2 linked regions of the Arabidopsis thaliana genome follow. The protein of the gene in region 2 interacts with the protein of the main gene of each other region in a pairwise test. Each region holds a gene or a part of one and is shown on either strand. Other genes may lie near its edges.

The links.
Region 1: the proteins of ATARD2 (region 2) and AT5G43830 interact in a two-hybrid assay, tested with the Arabidopsis thaliana proteins (2 studies listed by BioGRID).

Annotation. Positions count from the first base shown.
Region 1 is NC_003076.8:17,621,596-17,626,501, forward strand, and holds AT5G43830 (aluminum induced protein with YGL and LRDR motifs), read right to left. Parts: upstream 2,765-4,906; 5' UTR 2,645-2,764; coding exon 2,442-2,644; intron 1,802-2,441; coding exon 1,561-1,801; intron 1,485-1,560; coding exon 1,364-1,484; intron 1,189-1,363; coding exon 998-1,188; 3' UTR 661-997; downstream 1-660. Other genes in the region: AT5G43822 (Pentatricopeptide repeat (PPR) superfamily protein), read left to right, coding at 55-119, 230-273; HSFA6A (heat shock transcription factor A6A), read right to left, coding at 3,842-4,456, 4,536-4,769.
Region 2 is NC_003075.7:8,424,203-8,428,597, forward strand, and holds ATARD2 (RmlC-like cupins superfamily protein), read right to left. Parts: upstream 2,270-4,395; 5' UTR 2,159-2,269; coding exon of another isoform or gene 2,141-2,158; exon of another isoform or gene 2,074-2,140; 5' UTR 1,973-2,073; coding exon 1,949-1,972; exon of another isoform or gene 1,811-1,948; coding exon 1,699-1,810; intron 1,624-1,698; coding exon 1,529-1,623; intron 1,343-1,528; coding exon 1,228-1,342; intron 1,151-1,227; coding exon 1,026-1,150; intron 946-1,025; coding exon of another isoform or gene 943-945; coding exon 872-942; intron 759-871; coding exon 695-758; 3' UTR 501-694; downstream 1-500. Other genes in the region: ORC1A (origin recognition complex 1), read left to right, coding at 1-463; PPD1 (TIFY domain/Divergent CCT motif family protein), read right to left, coding at 2,882-2,889, 2,973-3,160, 3,226-3,289, 3,481-3,540, 3,907-4,003, 4,092-4,182. UniProt on the Arabidopsis thaliana protein: Catalyzes 2 different reactions between oxygen and the acireductone 1,2-dihydroxy-3-keto-5-methylthiopentene (DHK-MTPene) depending upon the metal bound in the active site.

The sequences.
Region 1 (4,906 bases), on a different chromosome or scaffold from region 2:
GAACTTTGACAAGTTTATAAAATTGTTCTTATATTCTTGTTTACTGTTGTATAGTCCTGGTGATCTAAACGCGCTACAATACCTCGTGGTTGATCAGCCGAATATCCCGAAAGATGAAGGTATCACATTGACAAAAAACTCACATTCTTGTTCGACTGTTATTCTTAAATGTAAATCTTTCTAAAGGTCTGAGTCTGATTTTAGCTTCTCTATGATATCCACTGTGCAGTACAACACATTTTCGATGTCATATTCGCGGAAGAGATCAAATGATGTATAAAGAGTGACTGTTTTTGTTCTTAACCTTTATCAAGTGATATTAGCAAGGATTAATGATAGACAATATATTTACTGGTAAAGATCATATGGACGTAACATCAATCACTCGTACTATCAATTTGCTAAACATCTTCATTATAATCAATAGGAAAATGCAAATGCGTTTAAGTTGGTGGTGGCGCCAACAACTGCGATGGCAGCACCAACATCTCAAATGTAAAAATTGTTAAAAATGAACATGATCCTTGCATGGACGATTTCAAACAAAGTTTGTGATAGTTTACCGATAGTTTCTTAATATGGTTTCTCATCTTAACAATCCCTTCCCTTATGATCAATGGTCCGAACCTTCCTTAGCTTACGTGAGAAACTGAATTGAAGCATAACATCAATTTATGTTTTCCACTTTTTCCTTGTGTATAAAAATGGAATAAAAACTTCGCGCAAAAAGCATTTACAAATGATGAAATAAAAACTTATTTATTTATTGATTTAAGAAACGTAAACAGAGAAACAAAAGTCTAGTAGTCTCGTAATTCCAAAGTTTCACAAAACTCGACATCCTTTCCAAATCCCACCTCAAACATGTACATAAACGCGTTTAGAACATTGTGGTTTGAAATTATTTTCTCAATGTAACTCAAACATGTAACGAAAGAGAGGGGACAAGACAAGAGGGAGAAGATGCTGAGCTTGTGATTTGTGTATGATTTCCGGTTTAGATATGACCGGCCCAATTTTGGGAGCTATCGACTCTAGGCATTTTGGTACCCTCTCTCTTAGTCTCAGCGTCAACCTTGAAGGTTGCACCACACACGTCACCTGAGCTGTCCACTCTCGGCACTGGCTTCAACTCGTTCTTTGGGTGCTCAAAGCTCCTCAATCCACCCGACGACGTAAAGAAACAACCTTCAAACACCAAAAAAAAAGCCATATAATCATTTAGTGAACTGCTGCTCTACAACAATCACACAAACAACCAAAGTCTTGGATCAGATTATCAAAATCTTAATACCTATCTTTCTAATAGGTAAATTCTATTTATCTTAAAAAGAGTCAAAAACATTTGGAGTAAAGTTGGTACCTTTAGGGAAAGGACCATAAGATTTGGCGCAACCTTTCTTCACCATCTCGGTGTTATCAGAAAACACAAGGTGCCCTTCAGCATCGGTTCCCCAGAAGAACGGCACACTCCCATCGGCGTCCTGCACATTGACAACAAGTAAATCAAGTTCCGCGACTTAAACATTGAGATCAAGAATGTATAGCTGCTGGACTTACAGCAGCAGCAAAGACAGTTTTCTTGACGCTATCGAAGAGTATAAACGCAAACTTTCCATGGAAATCTCTAACAACTTTGTCCACAGGGTAAGGACCTCGATCACGTAGTGTCCTGTAAGCCTCAATCACAATGATGGCCTCGTTTGTGATTTTGTTCAGTCCATACTGCTGCTTCAGAAACGGTAGGTTCTCAATGTGTCCTTGGAAGAGACAGAAAATATCATCCACCACAGCAAATAATCTGTCAAATTCAATAGAAACCAAATCACATTACCAAATATACAAAATCAAGAGCCACAGATTACTCTAATCCAGTGTAGATCTTTTCAATCATCTTCTATCGATGAAAAATAGAGTTAAATAGACTCTGTAGTTCCGTATTCCTCCAATAGCTCACAATAATATCATCATCATCATCTAATCTACTTTGTAGAACAATAACATTATCATCATCATCTAATCTACTTTGTAGAACAATAACATTATCATCATCATCATCATCTAGTGGAGCTGTAGAATCTCTAATCCCAGATTCTACCAAAAATCACTAGCTACTGTTATCTCATCATCATCTAATGTAGTTTGTAAAATCTACCGTTACTGTTCATCATCATCATCATCAAGCTATAGTACCAACACAAGCAAGCCAAAAACCATAAATCCTAGATCGCAAGCCAAATAAAGTCAATCCAAGTAAATCTGCAGCAAAATAGCGAATATATCCAACATTATCGCAGATCAAATCAAGAAGATTCCAGAAATAAACAAAATCGAAACCGAAAACATCGGAGATTCAAAATCTACTACTTAGAAATCAAAGAAACAACAAAGATTTGACTAGATCAAGCATATAATCAAAGAGAAGAGGACTTGAAATTGACCTAGGAACACGAGGATCAGGATTATCAAGAGAGTAAGCAACAAATCCAGAAGATCCGAAGTTAAGCGTGACGGAGTTGGGATTCACGGAAGCGAAATGAGTAGCGAGAGATCCATCTTTCAACGCGAAAGCAGACTCAGACGAGTGTGGACTCTGTAAAGCTTCAGGGCTATTCGCCACCGTCTTCTCAAACACAGCGAGCATTTTTCTCAGTGATGATTTTCTCGGGAAAATAAAATTTGCAGAAAGAAGAAAAAAATGGAGCAAACGAGAAAATGATGAGGAAAAAAGTGAAGAAAGACCGGGAAGGCTATAAAGGAATCTTGTAGGATATACGTGATTACTATTTTACCCCTACGTTATTGACACGTGTCGTGATTCAAGAGGATAAGAAAGTTTTGGATATTTTTCTTTTTTCTCAATGAGGTTAATAAAAAAGAGTTAATTAGATGGATAATCATATCTTTAAACGGAATCACAATTATCTGATTTTAAACTTTTGATAAGGCAATGTAGATTGTAAAAATAGTAATTTGTTTGGATAAATAGTAACGCAATTTATAGGAATGTTACTAGTAATTTTTGGAATGTAATAACTATTTTTATGATAAAAAGTTTATAAATTTAGTAGACGTGTAAAATAGGACTTAATTACGTAATTACATTCATTGCAAATGCTGGATATTATTGGTAGTGTAATAATATTAAATAGATAAACGATTTTGAAAACATATCTGAAAAGTATCCATTTTATTATCGTTTGTGTAATATTAGGTGCGTTTGATAATGCAGTATTTATTAGAAAGTTGTCGCTTAATTAGAGAAAATTTTCCTAAGATGGAGGAATTAATTTATTTAGTAGTAACGTATAAAAAAGGCTTTATTTGAGGGAAGAATCTAATGGTACAAATGAGGATAAGATTTATAAAAATAAAGTCATGAAAATGACGTGGCGAGTACGTGCACTCGATTATTAATAATTAAAAATAAAATTAAATCGAGGAAAGCCACATGGGTGATCATAAAAGGCAATATCTCTTAAATAAAAGGTCAATCCAACGGTTCGATTCGTCACGCGCTTCGATCGAAACGTATAACTGACTTAAATTAAAATAATTGTATCGTATTTTAGCTACTTTTTAAAATTGACAGCAATAAAATTTGTGTAAAAATGTAAATACTTTATAGTTAGTGCTCAGGAGAAATAAAATGTTGATAGACGTCTTTGAACAATCAATGGAGTGGAAGGTGTGGCCGAATTAGTCAATTTGTTAACAAATGCCAAGGCCAAATATTTTGTTGGGCTTTTAGTTTGGCCCAAATTGTATACAATGCTTGATGACAAACTCGGAAAAAAAAAGCAAAAAAACAAAAAAAAACCTCTCATAATACATTAGTTTATTATATAAAATGTTCCACTAAATCACACATCTCCTCCTCACTCAACACGAAACCCTTCCAAATTCCTTCACTATCCATTTCAATTTCATCCTCCCCTTGTCCTTGATGCTCCATTGAAGCTATGTGAAGCTCATCACCATAATCAAACACACCTCCACATTGATCATCGATGTCATCACCATACTCTTCTGGCTCAGCTTTAACAAACTTTCCATTATCCTCAACACCATGGCTTGAGATCACCTCTTGCTTTTGCTCTCGATTCTTGATTCCTTGCAGATTACGTTTCCTTAAGCTCTGTAAAAAACTCGGTTTCTTAATCTTCTTTAGCAAGAAATTCATCATCATTTCTTGCTTTACTTCTGTGACTTTCAGTTTCTCTTCCATCAAATGCAGATATGTCTTCACGCTTTCTTGTTTTCGTCGCAGTCTAACCAGTTCTACTTCTAAAGCCATTCTGTCTCTTCGCAGCTCATGGATCTCTCCTTCTAGCGACTGCGTTTGCGTTTGAGATGATGTCTTTCTTCTCTTGATGTTCTTAAGAAGATGCCTCTCTCCCTTCAGAAAATGCTCATTTGCAAATTCCCATCTCTCTGTATCAATCTTCTTAAACCCCTACAGATCATTAAACAAAGATTTAATTTTTAATGAAGATCAAAATAACCAAGACAAAAACTCAAAAGTAGTTACGTACATAAGTATTGAGCTGTCTAACAAAGCTGGAGAAATTATTGTGCTTAAAGCATCTAGGGAGGCAAATTAGGGCAAAAGTCTCTGGTTCCCAAACAATGAAGCTGTTGTTGTCTCTGCTCCATGAAACTATGTTGTTTGTGCTTGAATCCTCCACTATGTTGTATGTTTTCGTCAAGAAAGCCGTTGGTGGCGTTTCTTTGAGACCCTCTAATGGAATTGGAAGGTTATAATCCATTTTGTGAACAAAAAACCTATATAAATTTGAGCTTTTTTAATAAAAAAAGAGAGAGGAGAGAATAGTTGTGATGAATAGCTGAAGCTTGAGGATGCTTTTATGCTGTCTATATTTTTGGGGTTTAATATTTTTGGATA
Region 2 (4,395 bases):
CGCGCTTGAGATATGCAGGCGTGCAGCGGAAGTAGCGGATTACCGTCTAAAGAAGAGTAACATATCTGCAAAGAGTCAGCTGGTGATTATGGCAGATGTTGAAGTAGCCATTCAAGAGATGTTTCAGGCACCTCATATTCAAGTTATGAAGAGTGTATCGAAACTGAGTAGGATCTTCTTGACGGCTATGGTTCATGAGCTTTACAAAACAGGAATGGCAGAGACAAGCTTTGACAGAGTAGCAACAACAGTATCGTCTATTTGCTTAACCAATGGTGAAGCTTTTCCCGGTTGGGACATTCTTCTCAAAATCGGTTGTGATCTTGGTGAATGCAGAATCGTTCTTTGTGAACCTGGAGAGAAGCACAGATTGCAGAAGCTGCAGCTTAATTTTCCAAGTGATGATGTTGCTTTTGCATTGAAAGACAATAAGGATCTTCCATGGTTGGCCAATTACTTGTGATTTTTTGCTAGTTTAAGGAAAACTTTGGAGAGATTGATAATGTAACACAGTTTGATTTCTGGAGTATAAACTATAAATACAGTTACAACACAACCATAATGCCAAAGCCACACGAATCAAAGTTTCTTCACAAGTGGATCTGTAGATGACATAATATCCAACATGAGACAGAAAGCTCTCTTTATTGTATGCTTAGTTTATAGAAATCTGATGCATAAGACTGAGAATCCTCTAGGCTGACGCGTCTATGACACCACCTTCATTCACCTTCACGAAATTATCGATGTACTCTTTCCTGTAAAATAGCCGTTTCGATATCCATAAACAGCTTTTCTCGTGTCTTTTCTTGGATGAACTTTTGCAGAGTAAGTTTTTGATGAGACAAAAGGGGAAAACAGAACATTGTACCTTGCAGGGAGGTGGTCGTGTGGGCGATTGTATGGTGTCCAGACCGGTTCACCCACGAAAAGCCGCATTGCCTGCTCAACAAGATATTTCAATTTTCTAATCAACCAAATATATATATGATGAATTAACCACTCTGAAGAAGCTAACATTGCACCTTGATATAGTTGTCTGAGTCTACGGTGAAGCGATGATATATTCCAGCAGGTAAGACTATCATACCTCCCTTCTTTACCCATACTCTAATCCAAGCTTCATTGCGATCCCTCACATCAAAGTAACCTTTTCCCAAGAAAATGAAACGTTGAGAATATAGATACCGACTTAAATCAAGTAAAGCAGCCAATAAAAGTACTTACCGCTTCCTGCAACGCAGTAACGGATCTCTTCATCAGTGTGCAAATGTTCTTCGAAAAAGCTCTTCACTTTCACTTCATAGTTTGGAAGCTTTTCCGGGCATACCTCACAAAAGTCCTGCATTTTGAACACTTTTCCATCATCAAACCAAGACTCAAGCACATAAAACAATTTGCAAATCATCAACGAATTTTCCTAAATACATTCAGTAGAGTAAGTGTTACAATTGAGTAAAACCCTAGAGAGTTAAAACAAGACTTGTTCAAAAGTAAACATCTAGCATTCAAGTCTATATAAACAAACCATGTAAGAGTAACCACGAGATTCGCGGATCTTTTTCAAATCCTCATCGGTTTCATAGTTATCAGCATCAAGTCTCCAGCTAAGTACTCCCAGCTCTGCACACAAACATTACATCTGAAACAAATAGAGAAACAGAGAGAAGAACACTGAATTGAAACACACAAAGAGACCTGCAAGTTTGTCCAAAGATAGAAACTCCTTAGGATCCTTGTGGTGAGGAAGTCTCTGATCCTCTTCGCTATCATCCATATACCATGCCTGGATCACTTCTTCTCTTCCATCCTAAGCAAAAACACACATACACAAACACAACAAGAAAACATAAATTTATGATGCTAAGCTTGAAAGAGAAACAAAAAACGTTCAGCAATTAGTGAAATTTTCGATTGCAACCTCCAAGACAAAGCCTGAATTTCATACACAACAAGTGAAACTAGAAAACATCAAATTTGATGATTAAAATAAAACAAAAATCAAAATTGGAATAGTGATCAGTGATTGAAGACCACTTAATTAACAATCGGCGGCGATTCATGTTTTCATAGCTGAAACAAGAAATTTTCCGATGAGCTTTCACGAAATCAGAATCAGAAGCAAGAGATTTACGATTACCTTAACCACTTCACCCATGGTTGTTTGTTCCTCTTCTTCTTCGTCTTCTTCGTTAGGCTTTTTATGATTCCTCTTCGTCTTCAAATCCACGCGATATATGCCTTCTCTCCTTTTCAAAAGAAGTCATTTTCGTTTTATCTTTTGGGACAAAAACAGAGAAAAAGGTTAAAAGACTAAACTACCCTCCATCCGCCGGCGTGCGGCGAGGGAAATGCCGCCTCCACATATATCCGTTTCAGACTATTTATCACATTTTTGAGGTTTGAGAAAATGTAAATACGTTAGTTAGAGTGGTAATTATTGTAAAAAAGTTAACAAAGTTAAAAGTTAAAAACTGGGTTAAAAATGGACAAAAGAAGAGAAGTTTGGTGGTGTCAAAGTAAGACTCGAGTCGAGAGTAAGAAACACTTTGGCTAAAAGGTCTCTCTCGTTAAAAGTGTCAAGTAAGACATCATTTACACATTACAACACCTAGAAAATGAAAGCCCTTCTTTCACCTCTCTTGTCTCTACTCTCTGTGACTATATCCTCACAAAAAGAATCAGAAACAAGAAATTACCACTAACCTACTAAGCTCTACTCAAAACTATAGACCAAAAATTATGGGTGCAAAACCCCGGAAACACAAAAGAAGGCCGATCCGAAGAGAGGTTTCTTTTCTTCATATCTTTGAGCTTACAAGCAAGCAACTGTTTCAACGCCTATTCACAGCTTATAGCATCTCCACGTTTCGGTATCTTGTTAAATGCCTGGAGACCAAGCGAGGAGAGTTATGAGGGAAATCATCCAAACCACTGATTTAACAAAGCTTTATATATGATTCTCTTCTTACCTTCACTGTTTAGATCAACTGAAAGATTGGGACTTTTTGTCTGGCTTTCAGGTGACTGGCTATGCAGTGGAGATCCGGTGCAGCCTAGGTTTTGCGAATATGCAGCTTTCATCCGTGGCTGACAATTCAGAAACATCTCCAAGCTAGAGGACGCAACTCCTGGACACTTTTTGGCCTTTGAGAATTTTCTGCACATTACGAAAACATATCAGTTTATAGCGATTTTGGAATAAGCGTAAGTATATAAATGCACCTGTCTTTCCGCTTTTCACGATATCTTTGCAAAGATACCTTTCTGTTCGCCTGGCCCTCCATACCTTAAGAACGACCCAAAAAACATAGAACGACGGTTAGATTAATAAACTTCACAGGTCATATAACATGCAGAACAACAAGCAAGCCAAGTTTCCTCCAAGTTAACAACATTAGCATAGCTTTGCACAGGTGAAGATGTGTTGATCAAGTTTCGCTCCGAGAATCATTAAGGTAATATGAATACTGTTCATACCAGAATCACGAGAAGAATTCGCCTTCTCAAGGCCTTTTTGGGGAAGTTCCATCATCTTCTCTGCAATAAGATTTCACATTTTCAATTTGATTTTTGACTAATTCAAACTAGACTCTGAAGAAGGAAAGTGGAATCACTATCACAAAAACATGCAAGAGGCATTTGGATATTTTACGCAAGGTAGTATAGCACAATGCAACATTTAGACATACTTCCTTGGTCAACTACCCATGCCTCCTTTCAAAGTTGGACAAAACAAAAGCAGTGTTTGCAAGAAGAGAAAATAAATAAAAAAGCTCTACTGCGTCAGAAAAGCTGGTCCATGAACTTTTTCCAGTTTGATGATACACAAAACAAAATCATTTCATGTTTGAATCATCTATCTATCAACTGAAAAACAGATCAGACACTTTAGCAAAAGCTTACCTTTACTTATGAGCTTTGAAATCATTCTACTGGAAGCAAAAATACCGTTTTCAGGCAAATCAATTGGATTGGCTGCAAAGTGCATGATTGACCGGGCCTGCAAACCAATACAAAGGATGAATGATCAAAAACATGCCAACAAAATTTCTATTTTCAGACTGGACAGAATAATGTTATTGATTTACCTTTTCAGGTGGTATTCCATCATACACATTCACTTTTCCACTATAGAATATCGTCATTTGCCCAACGAGCTCACTTGTTTCAGCTGGGCTTCTGATGCAAGATTACAGACAAGAATGTTTAATATGCTTGTAGAACAACAGGCACATGCAGCAAAACCTTTTCTTAAGCTTTCGTAGATGGACTAGGGAAAAAACCCTCTAACTTACAAAATATCATTAAGGAATTCAAGTAACTAATTATTATTTCAAGTCACATCAGTCATATTGACTATTATTTTCCATTTCTAAAGAGATCCAGGATACT